2 linked regions of the Caenorhabditis elegans genome follow. The protein of the gene in region 2 purifies or fractionates together with the protein of the main gene of each other region. This does not show direct contact. Each region holds a gene or a part of one and is shown on either strand. Other genes may lie near its edges.

What was found. Proteins that work in one complex are often made in the same cells at the same time.
Region 1: the proteins of C34F6.1 (region 2) and F17B5.1 fractionate together in Caenorhabditis elegans (co-fractionation; one large-scale study listed by BioGRID). This does not show direct contact.

The regions. Positions count from the first base shown.
Region 1 is NC_003279.8:13,183,154-13,188,692, reverse strand, and holds F17B5.1 (protein-disulfide reductase), read right to left. Parts: upstream 3,842-5,539; 5' UTR 3,764-3,841; coding exon 3,710-3,763; intron 3,580-3,709; coding exon 3,416-3,579; intron 3,347-3,415; coding exon 2,932-3,346; intron 2,880-2,931; coding exon 2,697-2,879; intron 2,649-2,696; coding exon 2,446-2,648; exon of another isoform or gene 2,206-2,445; coding exon 2,082-2,205; intron 2,033-2,081; coding exon 1,830-2,032; intron 1,664-1,829; coding exon 676-1,663; 3' UTR 501-675; downstream 1-500. Other genes in the region: rgba-1 (Defensin-like protein), read left to right, coding at 4,921-5,241.
Region 2 is NC_003284.9:11,191,978-11,198,854, forward strand, and holds C34F6.1 (BPTI/Kunitz inhibitor domain-containing protein), read right to left. Parts: upstream 4,865-6,877; 5' UTR 4,858-4,864; coding exon 4,807-4,857; intron 4,762-4,806; coding exon 4,629-4,761; intron 4,586-4,628; coding exon 4,383-4,585; intron 4,332-4,382; coding exon 4,178-4,331; exon of another isoform or gene 4,038-4,177; intron 3,927-4,037; coding exon 3,594-3,926; intron 3,533-3,593; coding exon 3,365-3,532; intron 3,285-3,364; coding exon 3,117-3,284; intron 3,064-3,116; coding exon 2,281-3,063; intron 2,232-2,280; coding exon 1,920-2,231; intron 1,853-1,919; coding exon 1,532-1,852; intron 1,480-1,531; coding exon 1,175-1,479; intron 1,056-1,174; coding exon 855-1,055; 3' UTR 508-854; downstream 1-507.

The sequences.
Region 1 (5,539 bases), on a different chromosome or scaffold from region 2:
GTCTTCAAAATTGAGTTTTCCTCACGTTATTAAAAATAAGAAATGAAAATTATCGAATTCATCACCAAAAATAGAGAAAGAGAGAGAGTGGTAGAAAAGTTTTTCACGTTTAATTAATCTTTTTGATTTTGCAAAAATTGAATGATGGTCTACATTTTGGAAAGTGGGCCAATTTTTTTCAAAATAGTTTCAAAAAATTGGAAATACGAAGTTCTCTCTTGCGCACAAATTGGAACCAAATGTCAGAAAAACTGAAGATTTGGGGCTGAAAAAACATGAAATTCGTCAGTACAAAGAATACATCCATTTCGACCATACTCCAGAATTCCGCTCAAATCAGTGTTTTAGCCTTCCCAAAAGCGCCCCCCCCACAATGATGACGATGGAAGGCGCTATTTTTGTAAGCTATTGAAACAAATTGCTCAAAAAACCGCCAATCCTAAGCCAAGATATAAGCTCTCAAAGTGCAGTCACATTTCTCGGGACACCCCATGTCGACAACGTGCCCTTATTTTTTATTTCTGTCAAGAATGCAATTTCAGGATTTAATATAGGAAGAGGCAGATTAGTAAAACTGATCTAATACTTGCGAAGATTTTCTACACAAAGAGCATTTAAAATGAAAAAAAAAATTAAATAAAAGTGAACCAGAAACATAAAAATCCTTTTCGCACTTCAGTTCAACATTGCTTTCCAATGGTTGACCAATGCTTTCGGATCGTTGATCCATTGAGAAACTAGATTTCGTCCATCATCAGTAATAACTGTTCCATCGGGTTTCATTATTATTAAGGCAGGAATATGATTTTTGGTATTTCGGTGCTTCATTGAATTGCACAAATTGAGTGGCAAATGGAACCAATCGCCATGGAAATTTTGCAAGTAGAAGTTCATTTCTTGTGTATTATTGTCGCTCGAAACGAATAGTATTTCGAAGTTATCCTCTACTTGACTATAGAATTGTGCAAGAACCGGAGTGAAATCGCGAGATGGCGGACACCAATGAGCAGAGAAATACAGTCCAACCACTTTTCCATCGAGCACTCGCTCGTTATATGTTTGAGATGGATGTTGGTGCCTGATAAATGTGAAATTTTGGAGGAATGTGCATTTATTCGCCTGCTTTTTTCTTTCTTTTTCCTGTTTTTGCCTAGCTTTCTCTTCTGCGATTTTTCTTTTCTTTTCCTCTTCCAGAGCTTTTTTTTTCTTCTCTTCTTCAGCTTTCCGTTTTATTTCCAGTTCTTCCTTCTTCTTCCTTTCCTCTTCCAACTCTTTCTTGCGTTTTTCTTCTTCATAAATTTTCAATTCTTCCTCCGCTTTTAACCTTGCTTCTTCCTCTTCCTGTTTTTTCCTAGCTTCCTCTTCCAAAATCTTTCTTTGTTTTTCTTCTTCTTCCTTGATTCTTGCTTCTTCCTCCTCTCTCTGCTTCAACTCCAGTTTCTCCTGTTTCTTCTTGGATTCCTCTATCGATACTTCTTCAATTCTTTTCTCCAATTTCAATGTTTCCTCAAGGTCAATTCGAACGTTTTGTTCAAGCTCATAGGTTTTCTCAGAGTGCTCAATTACTGTAACTGTACTATGAGAGTGTTCAGACGAGAACTCTGAGATTGAAGAACGCAAAGAAAGCGACTTTATCCATTTGGAAACTCGTTCTTGTTCTGGTCTGAAAAATGAAATTTTTTTAATCATAAGGCTACGTTGAAGTTGAATAGTACAACAACCAAAGCTATAACCTCATCTTATTGAGGAAGTTAGCGTTATGTGAACATACAACGGAGTTAACATTTTCCTCTGTTACTGTAAAAAAGGAAAAATTTTTGAAAACCAACCTGTCAAGAATCTGAAGCTTCAATTCAAAAATTTTGAACATATTGTCGAACTTTCCAGAAAAGCACCCGAATTGTTGCTCGATACTTTCAAGGTGCTGAATTATAAGTGTCAAGTGGATTGACTGAAACTCTGTGTGCTCCAAAATGCAAATGATGAACTGAGAAATTCTTTGTTCAATTATCTCTCTATACGTCCACTTATCCTATAACTTATTCATCAAAAATTGTCCTGATAATTACTTTCAAACTCACGATTTTTATTTTCAAGTACAATAAAATCAGAATATTCAGAGTGTCCATGCATTGGTCGATGTGTTGTGTTTGGAGAAGAGACAAATGCTCATTTCTCATGAAAACTAGCATCTTTGCTTCATAGCTACAAAAAAAGGTTCATCAGTTTAAAATCTAGAAGTCCGCCGATAGTTTTTTAGAAATGTTTCAAACATTGAGCAGAAGTTGGACAGACATCCGATTTTCTCCTACTGCTCATAGTCTCACCAACGTCTTCCAAAATCCTGACAAAGTTTGAAACGGCGTTTGGCCGAAAAGTGCGTTCCAAGTGTCGAAGGAAATGTGAGAGTCCTGGATAGCAATCAAAAAGATTTTAATAACAAACCTGTCAAACATCTGAGCTTTCGCTTCAAAATGTGTGAACATAATGTCACACATTTCCGTGAAATTCCCAAATCGTTGTTCAATACTTCCGAGGAGTTCAGTTATCATGGTCAAGTGGCTTGACTCAAACTCTTTGTGCTCCAAAATGAAAACGATTACCTGGCAAATTCTGAACTCAAAGTTTTCCCTGCACTCCAAATCATCCTATAATTTCTTAGTCAACAATTGCCACGAGCATTCTTTCAAACTCACAATACTTATTTTCATGTAGAAAATCATCAAAATTCTCAAACTAACGATGGATTGTTCAATTGACTCATTCTCCCAATTCTCCCAATACAGAAGTACATCCGTCTTTGTTTCATCTCTACCAATTGAAAGGTGTATAAGTGCCAGCAAATGATATTTTTCTGAGTTTTCGTATTCCCAAGTTGCCTGTAATGAGCAAATCACTGTAGGCAAGAATACTAAATCTCTAGCAACCTACCATCCCAATAATAATCCCAAATGCTACTGCATAATGTCGTTGATCAAGATTTTCTAGAAGTTTCATGATCTCAGATGTCCAAAATGTAACTTCCATTTTCTTTTCCAATCCGATTAACTTCTCGCATATCAATTTGATCTTCTGTAGATCAATGGAATTATCGACCGAACACCTCCAAGAAGCATTCTTCACTTTGTAGCAAAATTTGTCATTGGGAGAAGTTAGAATTCGAATTTCCTCTAGTCCAGAATTCAAAAATCCCACAGCTTTCTGTTGTCTCCCTTTGAAACTTGCGATCTTCTTTCTAAGACCTTCATATTTGTTTTTTGAAGATTTCAATTCCAAATGTATTTCTTTGGAATTCGACTCATCGTCTTGATTATCACTTAATTCATCTATCAGTGACGCAATATTCCTGTAAACATAACAATTATAATTAATTACTATTTTCTTATTTAGAAAAAAAAAATAGAGAATAACTAACTTCTCCTGAAACTCAATATCTCTTTCCACAAGAAATTGTTGAACTTCTATGGAATCCAATAGTTTTTTCTTTGCAAATTCAACAAGTTCTTCTTGAAATCCGGGGATTACAGAAAATTGTTCAAGTTGATCAACATTATTGTCTTGTTCTAGATGATATTCATTCTGAAAAAAAGGGTTTTTAACCAGGTAGGAATTGAGATTACCCTCAGGCTTTGAAATGATAAAACCAAATTTCAATCGGAAAATTTTTCAATTAAAATATTTACTACATAGTAGGATTCCAATAACTAACCTCAGCCACAAGTTCGAGAATTCTCCAAGGGTTTCCATCAATCGACTCTGTCATTTTGCAGCCCAAACTTCAATAAAAATGAATGTTCGAACTACTTGGTCTTCTCTATCGTCCTTAAAAACGGAGTTTATCACCAAAACCGAATTATCGTAAACAACTTATACTCAACATTCGCCAACACTGAACAAATAAGTGAAAACTATGAAAAAGTTTATCAGTAATTTTGTGTGATTTGTTCTGAAATAGATTCGTAAAAGTACATCTCTAAATTCAAATTAATGGAATTTTCTGAATGTACTTTTGTTTAATTTGATCACGTTCTTTAGGAAATGGAAAATAAAATCATATGGCATACAATACAAGGTTATGAAATGTTAATTGTGATGCTCGCTCGTGCTCTAGTTGTTGACTTTCAATATCAATTTCTAAGTTTAGTATCCCATTTCAGATTGTTTCAAAATTTGCCTAGTCCCTCGAATTAAAACATGCGTCGGTGGACTAAACTACATATATTTGTTCGAACTTTTGAACCTTCCCAATCATTGAGAGCACAACAATTGTCATATTTTTTTCAACTAATAATTGTCAACAACTTTTTGAACAGCTGCCCCTGCACGGCGATCAAATGTGTCACTTTGCCTTATTTCTAGCCAGAAACATGTGCAAAAATGCGCTCTCTGTGCTTGACCGTGACAAGTTTCCTGTTGATTTAACATTACAATTTTGAGTTTTGTTATTCTCAATCACCAATCCACAGATTTGTCTGCCTACTGTATGCCCACCCACTTTGTTTAAAAGCTGAATCCGTGTTGAAGTTTTATCTGCTACTTCCACCATAGTGAAGGACTCGTTCAATCTAACCGGCCTCTTGATAGTAAGTAAAAAATTTTCCTTTATTTTATTCTGTGTTACTATTATATACTTGGAATGGTTCCTGAAACCGTTTTCATGATAAAATTTATAAAAAAAATTCAAGAAAACTTCATGGAGGTTCAAACATTTGTTTAAAACATCTAGATTCAGCAAAAACCTGAAAGTTTACCAATTCTGCTGAACTATAGCTTTTCTATTCTTTTCTGTTAGTCTAAACAGAAGAAAACCAATGAAAAAACAAAAGCAATCTCTTTATGACACTGGGTTTCTCGGTGCCATTTCGAGTTTATTAGAATATACTCAGAAATTTTGTACGAACTTCAGAACAAAGTTGGAAAATGTTTGGGCACTCGACTTCCTTCTGTCTTTTGGCTTTATTTGTGCTCTCGATGACAGTAAATTGTAAAGATCCTTGGTATGACTGGAAGGTAGGCAAAGGCTTGAATGGACGATCATCGTTTATGGGATACCAATTTGACTCGCCACTCGAACGCAACGCTATTAAGGGATATCGATATCTTAGTACTCGTGGTAGAGTCACAGATTGCAATAGCAACTGTAGATACTATTATAACGCGAACTCAGGATATTGTGCTCCTTCACGATCCAATGATTGCTCTACCTACTGCGGTTGTGGTTTTGTCTGTAGATGTAGATAGATAGATAATCTTGTTTTAAAGGTGGAGTAGCTTGAATTTGCGAATACTAAAAATAGTAATTCACTCTACTCCGCCTTCAATTTAGAGAATATGACAAATGTTTGTGTTTTTTTCCTCTGAATTCGCTATTTCTCTACACTTTCCACTAGTTTCTTAGAGTAAACCCCAACTTTTTTCAAACAACCTGTGCAATGCAAAAAAGAGGTTTTTACCGATTATTTGTCATATTCATTTGCTTCTTTACAATCTCTTCAATTGTTAATACTATGACATCATTAATAAAACTATACACCTTGAT
Region 2 (6,877 bases):
AAGTGAACGATAAATGTTTTGCTTCTTGGTATTTAGTGGAGAGTAAAAAGAAATAAGTGTGTGTGTGAGGAGTATGACTCATCGATTGGCCAAACTTCACGGCAATTATCGAGAAAGTTTTGTGTGTGGCGATGGTGGTGGCAATGAGACAGGAGAATGAAATGAGATTCCTTGGATTCTGTCTACCAGGTCAATTACCTTTGATTATTTGAAAGAAAGAAGAAAGTGTCAGAGGAAACTAGATCAAAAATCACGGCAAAAGCGTGTCTGAATGGAAAGGGCATCTCTGTAATTTGAGAAGACAGGCTTGAGAAAATGGAGAAGCCTGAACAACGAAATTGAAAACTGGGAAGAAAATTGATATGATTTTTTTTCCGAATATCGGGAATCTGAAATTTGAAGATCAAAAAGTGGGATTATTGATCCCTTCGTGATTTTTTCAGAACTAAACAGCTGACTTGATTAATCAGGTTCAGTTGGTGAACAGAGGTCGAATGAAAGATGGCTAAGGTGAAATGTTTATTCAATTACACTGAATAAATATTACAATGAATGTATAAAAATCTTTGTTATAAAAATGGATGGTAGTGGTCAATTTTGATGGCGCTGAGCAAACAGAGCTTGGTACGACTCAGAGAAGGTAAGAATGGAACAAAACAAAAAAATGAAAGCATATTTAATAATGAGAGAGACAATTACAAAAAAAAACAAGGAGATCCAATCAAAGAACTCTTTTTGGTGATTTTCAAGGGAGTTAATTTAGTTGTTTGTTAAAATGAAATAGCGACAATTACCGGTAAAAAGAGTGAAAAACAATTGAAGATTGAGAAAAGTTATTTGAAAACAAATTACATTTACAATCTATGTCTTCTCTTGTATTCTTTACAGCAGATTTCAGTACATCTTTGCAGAGAATGGAAGTTGTTCAATGTTCCTTCACACCCTCCATATTGATATTCAACACAAGTATCTGTGTTCGCATCATAACCATATCGCTTCTCAAAGTTATTGCATGGTCCCGAGTCGCGAGCTGAGAGGCAGAAATCCATTGGGTCCTGAAAATAAAAAAATAAATGATAACTTTCTCCATGATAAGCGTGTAGTGCCGTTTGATCCGTATTTGTTCTCAACCTGTTTCACTCTTTTTCAAACTTTTCACTCTGGAAAAGCTTACCTGGCAACAAATGGAAACATTGAACTCAGAAGACATGTGGCAAATAAATCCTTCCGGACATCCCTTGTCAATACCGCACGAGGTTACTGTTGATCCCTCAATCAATGGAATTCCATGCGGACAATAATTTCTGTATTCTGGACATGCTTCCATACAAGTATTTTGACTAATGAAGTTGTTTTCGTTTCCAGCAACTCCTCCGTATGTAAATGGAGCACATCTGTTTTGTTTGCGATCGAAGAACCATCTTGGCAAGTCTTCTGATCCTGTTCCTTCCTCTACGGCTTGATCACACGGGTCGATTTCTGAATTCAATAATAAAATAAGTGTCTAATAATAAATGGAATTCACGCATACTTCTCTTAGGGCAGCACAGCGTAGTGAGAGCACTAGATCCAACGTGACAGTACGAATTTTGTGGGCAGCTGTTAACTCTCTGTCCACCAGTACACAACATTCTTTCTCCGGTGGTGTCAACCAACGGATCACCATAACCGCACGGATTCATTTCCTTGCAAGACTGTCGGCACGACTGTTTGGTCAGGAAGTTGTTTGAGTTTCCTTTCATTCCCTTGTAAACAAATGGACGACACATTTGAATTCCTCCATCAAAGAACCAACGCTCGAGTTTCTCAACTCCTTGACCAACCTCTAATGGGAGATCACATGGACGACGGGCTGGAAATAGAATGCAAAATTGAACAGTTGCGTGAACTAAATGATATCTCTCTAGTAGTCTACTCACTTCCAGGGCAACAGTTGGTTGTCTCGGGGGCACCTCCAACATGACAATAATATCCGTTTGGACATGTGTCTTCTCCGCCGCAAATGACTGGTTCTTTTTGCAAACTAAGCAGTGGTTCTCCCAAGCTGCAAGGGTTTGGAAGTACTGGACAAACAAGACCGCAATCTTCAAGAGTCAAAAAGTTGTTGGCATTTCCCTTCTGTCCTTCGTAGCTGAAATCGCGGCATCGGCGAGTTTCTTTGTCATAGTAGTATCTTGTAATTGAAAATCCTCCTGTTCCAGTAGCCAATGCTTGTTGGCACGGGTCACCATCTATGAATATATATTTTAGATAGAGTTAAAATTTTTAGAACAAACATACGTTTTGGACAACAATAATTCTCCGATCCTTCAACTCCAATGTGACAGAAATGGGTGGATGGACATCTCTCATCAGGAGAGCACAACTTTGGTTTAGTGCCAATCAAGAGCGGTTTTCCATTGCCGCATGGATTCTCAAATACTGGACAAACTGACAAGCAGTCTTCCTGTGTTAGGAACATATTCTGATTTCCTCCTTCTCCGCTGTAAATGAACTTGACACATTTGTTGAGGTTTTTGTCAAAGTGCCATCTTGTCAGATGAGAGTTTCCGTAACCCTTCGTCATTGTGAGTTCACACGTATTCTGAACAGCAGAGCAGCACACAGTTGTGTCTGGAGTTATTCCGACGTGGCACCAGTGCGAGCTTGGGCATGGCGAACTTGGGCTGCATGTGCGTGGCTCGTTGGTAGGTGTCATAAGCATTGTTCCTGATCCACATGGATTTTTGCATTCTCTTTTACACTTAGATTCACATTGTTGTTTTGTGAGGAAGTTGTTCTGGTTTCCTTTAGCTCCATTGTAAGCAAAAGACTTGCACTGTCTATTGCATGACTTATCTGCTGGGTCAGCGTACCATCTTGTGAGATTCGCGGTTCCTTCTCCGGAAAACATTGGAAGAGAGCATGGATCTGGGGAAGCTCCTGGACAGCATACTGAAGATTCTTTGGAAGCTCCAATATGGCACCAATGTCCGGCACTGCATTCAGTTCCATTTGAGTTTTCCATTCCACATTCCTTCTTTTGAGCATAATTAACTGGGACAGGGCATGGGTTATCCCACTCTAAAATACAATGTAAAATCTTAAATAACGAAGTATTTGTTGAAAGTTCCTACTTTGACATTTTTCTTGGCATTGTGTATATGACAAGAAGTTGTTCTCATTGCCCTTGGTACCCTTGTACATGAACTCTGTGCATCGCTTTGAGAAAGTGTTATAGTAGAATCTCTTGAGGAGGGCTTTACCCTGTCCGACGTTTATCGAGAGTAAGCACGGATCGGTTACTGTAAAATTAAAATAAATAGAGCCTTGGCGAGAGGTAGAGAACAAATAGAGTAAACGTTTGACAAAAAAAAATGCTCACGTCCACTGTTCTCACAGCAAGCAGTAAGTTCCGGGTTCTCGCCAATATGACAGTAATAGCCGTTCGGGCACATTGAATCATCGTTCGGTCCGCAAATAATACGAGATCCATTCTTATATTTAGCAGCGTTACTGAATTTGCATGGGTTTGCCTCATCAGTCACAGTTTCTAAAAAATCAAGAGTGATAATATTATGTGATATTGTTAAGTACTGAAGTAAAATCTAAACCTGTTTCACATGCATCCACACATTGAGCTTTGGTGACAAAATTATTAGCGTTTCCACGGATCCCCTTGTATAAGAAACGTCTACATTCTTTGGCCTGATTATCAAAATACCATCTAGCTACAAGTTCATCTCCCTCTCCAGTGTCCCTTCTCTGAGCACATCTGTCTTCCGAAGAAACTAATGGGCAACAAGCGGTAGTGGAGAAAGATGCTCCTGTGTGACAATAGTGATCTTCTGGGCATCCTCCGTTTGGTTGGTTCAAGTAGTTGCATGAGATTGGAGTGGAGAATTCGTTGAGAAGTGGCTGGCCGACGGCGCATGGGTTGAAGTATTCTGCAAACGGTGGAGGGAAAGGTGTGAAGATGCATTTTGATATAACGGGAGTCGCAACTACTACTATATATCTATTTGTTTGTTTATTATTGACACATAATTATCTTTTAAGTGGTTGCTTTGAAACGCAATGAAACGCGTTCAAATTGTCGGCGGCTTGGTCAGTTTGGTTGAACTGTTCGATCACGCAGACAAACATTACAAAAAATGCTGGGTTGGGTGGGTGGTTTGGTTGCAGGCAAAAAACTTACTGGCTTTTGATGTTTGTTTGCGCTCCGGACGCAAGTACTTTGTTGTTGGTGCAACAGTAGTCTCCGGTGCTGGAGTGGGGTCTGTATGTGATGGAGCCATAGACGGCGTGGATTCTGGAGCTGGAGTTTCAAGAGTGGTAGTTGTAGTTGGTGGCTAAAAAATAGAGAATGGAGATAAAGAATTACTAACTATTGTTCTGCTTACCTGAGTAGTAGTTTCAGTGATTAGAACTTGTTGTGTTGTGATAGGAGCTCCAACAGTTGGTCTAGGGTAAGTGATTGGGGGAAGAGTGCTTGGTGGCGGAGTTGGCAGTGTTGGAAGTGGTGGAGCTGGATTAACCACTGGCCTAATGGGACCTGGTGCAGACGGAATAGTTCTAATTTGTACTTGAACATTTGGCCGGATATCTGTTATATGAATATGACAAAAAACGAAACTATGTCGACTTACTTGTTGGTCTGACATTCCACCTGTATCTAGTCTGTTGATTACATCTGTTTTGACAATTAGTTCTTACTGGATAATACATTGTTCTCTGTTGTTGTGGTTGCATAACAGGTCGCATCTGTTGTTGCATATAATACTAGAAAAATGTGGTTGTTGTAATTCATCTTTCTTATTATTTTACCTGTGATAAAACCAACGGCACCAAGGCCACTATGAAGAGCAGCAGTCTCATGGCTTCGCTGTAAAATGAGTAAATTTAAAATGAATCTAGTGGATATGAGAAGCAAATCGGAAGCCAAAAGTGCTTGGTGATCCGAGTGTAGGTCAACTTCGTGAAATGAGTGACCGCTGGCCGGAAATGTAAACAGGGTGGTCGAACTCCTTGTGGGGAGGAGCTGACGGCGCGCGGGGCGGGAGCTTGATCTAAAAAATGGCTCGCAGGTACAAGGTACCGTGTTTTGTGAAAGGGAAAATGAAAATAGAAAGAGGAAAATGGAGTTCTTAACACTTAAAGGTCAGGTAAAAAGCTCAAACAAACAAAAGTAGGGATTTCGAAACACTGCTGGTAAAAACCTAGAACAAAAATGATATAATCATGTTTTTGAAATTGGGGGTTCAATTTTAATAGCTCAAACTGCTCTTATTATTTGGATTATAGTCTATGTGTCCTCCAACAAAAAACATCGCATAATTTTATTATTTCAAAAAACGTTGTAGTGCCACTTTGCAAAATAAGTTCATGCAATCAAATTTGTTTTTAACCTGAAAATTGAATTTGTTTTTATTCAATACCAATTTTTAATTTATTAAGTGTATCAATTGTTGCGTCCCTATTTTAAAGCAGGAGTCATTTTGACACCATAATCACTAATTTAGATGCAATTATACATACATCTTTAGTATTTCTGATTGCAAACTATTATACATAATAACAAAACCGTTCGAAAATTAGTGTTCCATTTTTTGTTTGAATTGCAAAAACTTTCGAAATTTAGTATACAGCTACATTAATAGAAAAAAAAACAATTTTTATCATTACCACCCGCGCAATAAACTTAAATTCATTGCACAATCTCTATGTACTTCCCGTCTGTCCAGTTCAAAGTTTGATAATTCTCGTAAAGTCGCCCGCTCCCAAAAGCTTCTCCCTGTCCACGTCCGTTTTTGACATGTAGTGGACATTGTCGCGCCCCGGTGCTTACCTATTTCTCTTTACATTCCGCTGTTTCTCGTCGTCATACAGACAGCTAACTCAAGACGTACGCCGAAAAAAGAGTTGTGCTCTCCCCCTCTGGATAAACATTGACCTAAATGACAACTATTTTGCTCTGCGTGACACTTATACTAACTGCTTTGTTTGGACTTCGTCATCACTTAAGTTTTAAAAAATTGATAAGAAGTTATCGTGATCAAGTGTGGTACACGTTGGAAAATATGTATTCAGAATAGTGTTTGAATGTCAACGTTGTTAATAACCAGTCTGGAATTAATGTTGAATGTTGAAATTGTATTGTAACTCTGGAGTGTGTAGTAAAGTATTAGCCGTACACATATTTGGAACTGAAAGGCTTCTCGAACCGTTCTTCTTCAAAATATACTTTAAAACAAGTATTTTGGAGTATAAGGTCTACAATTTGTGGATCGCTGTTTTCAAATATTCCAAGTGAAATCTAAAAAGCAATTCAAAATTTTCTTTAAAAACCACCCGTAATAAATATTTTTTAAGACTAAGCCAATATATGAAAAAAGAAATAATGTAATTAAATACTTATTTTTTATAATCTTTACTGATTTTTGTCTGTGTTTTATACGTGTAACACAAAAAGTGAACACTGAAACAGTAATTTCTCAAACATCGAAACATCACTCTCGAAGAACTAAGTTCTTGTCCCACTTCCTTTTTGGCATTTCCAAGTAATCGAAAGTAGCCGTAGTGGCAGGAACTATCCACAGCTATTATCACCGATCATCATCAAAAAGGGGGTTCTCTGGCGTTTTTTGTGTCCTCAAGTCAATTTCATTTTTCTGCACGCTTCTCTGTTCACACTGCGAACCTAAAGTTCGCATACTCTTTCGTTTGGTTTTTTTACTTCGCGCCCGCGCCAGTTTACACTTTTACTTGCTGGTTTCATATATCGTTCAGGATTACCGAAAACGAAGACGTCGACGACGACGGAGAAGAAAAAGGTGAAAGAAGAGACGAAGGAATTGAGTGATGGCAACTGATTGTCGTTGACATTGCTACTAGCGAA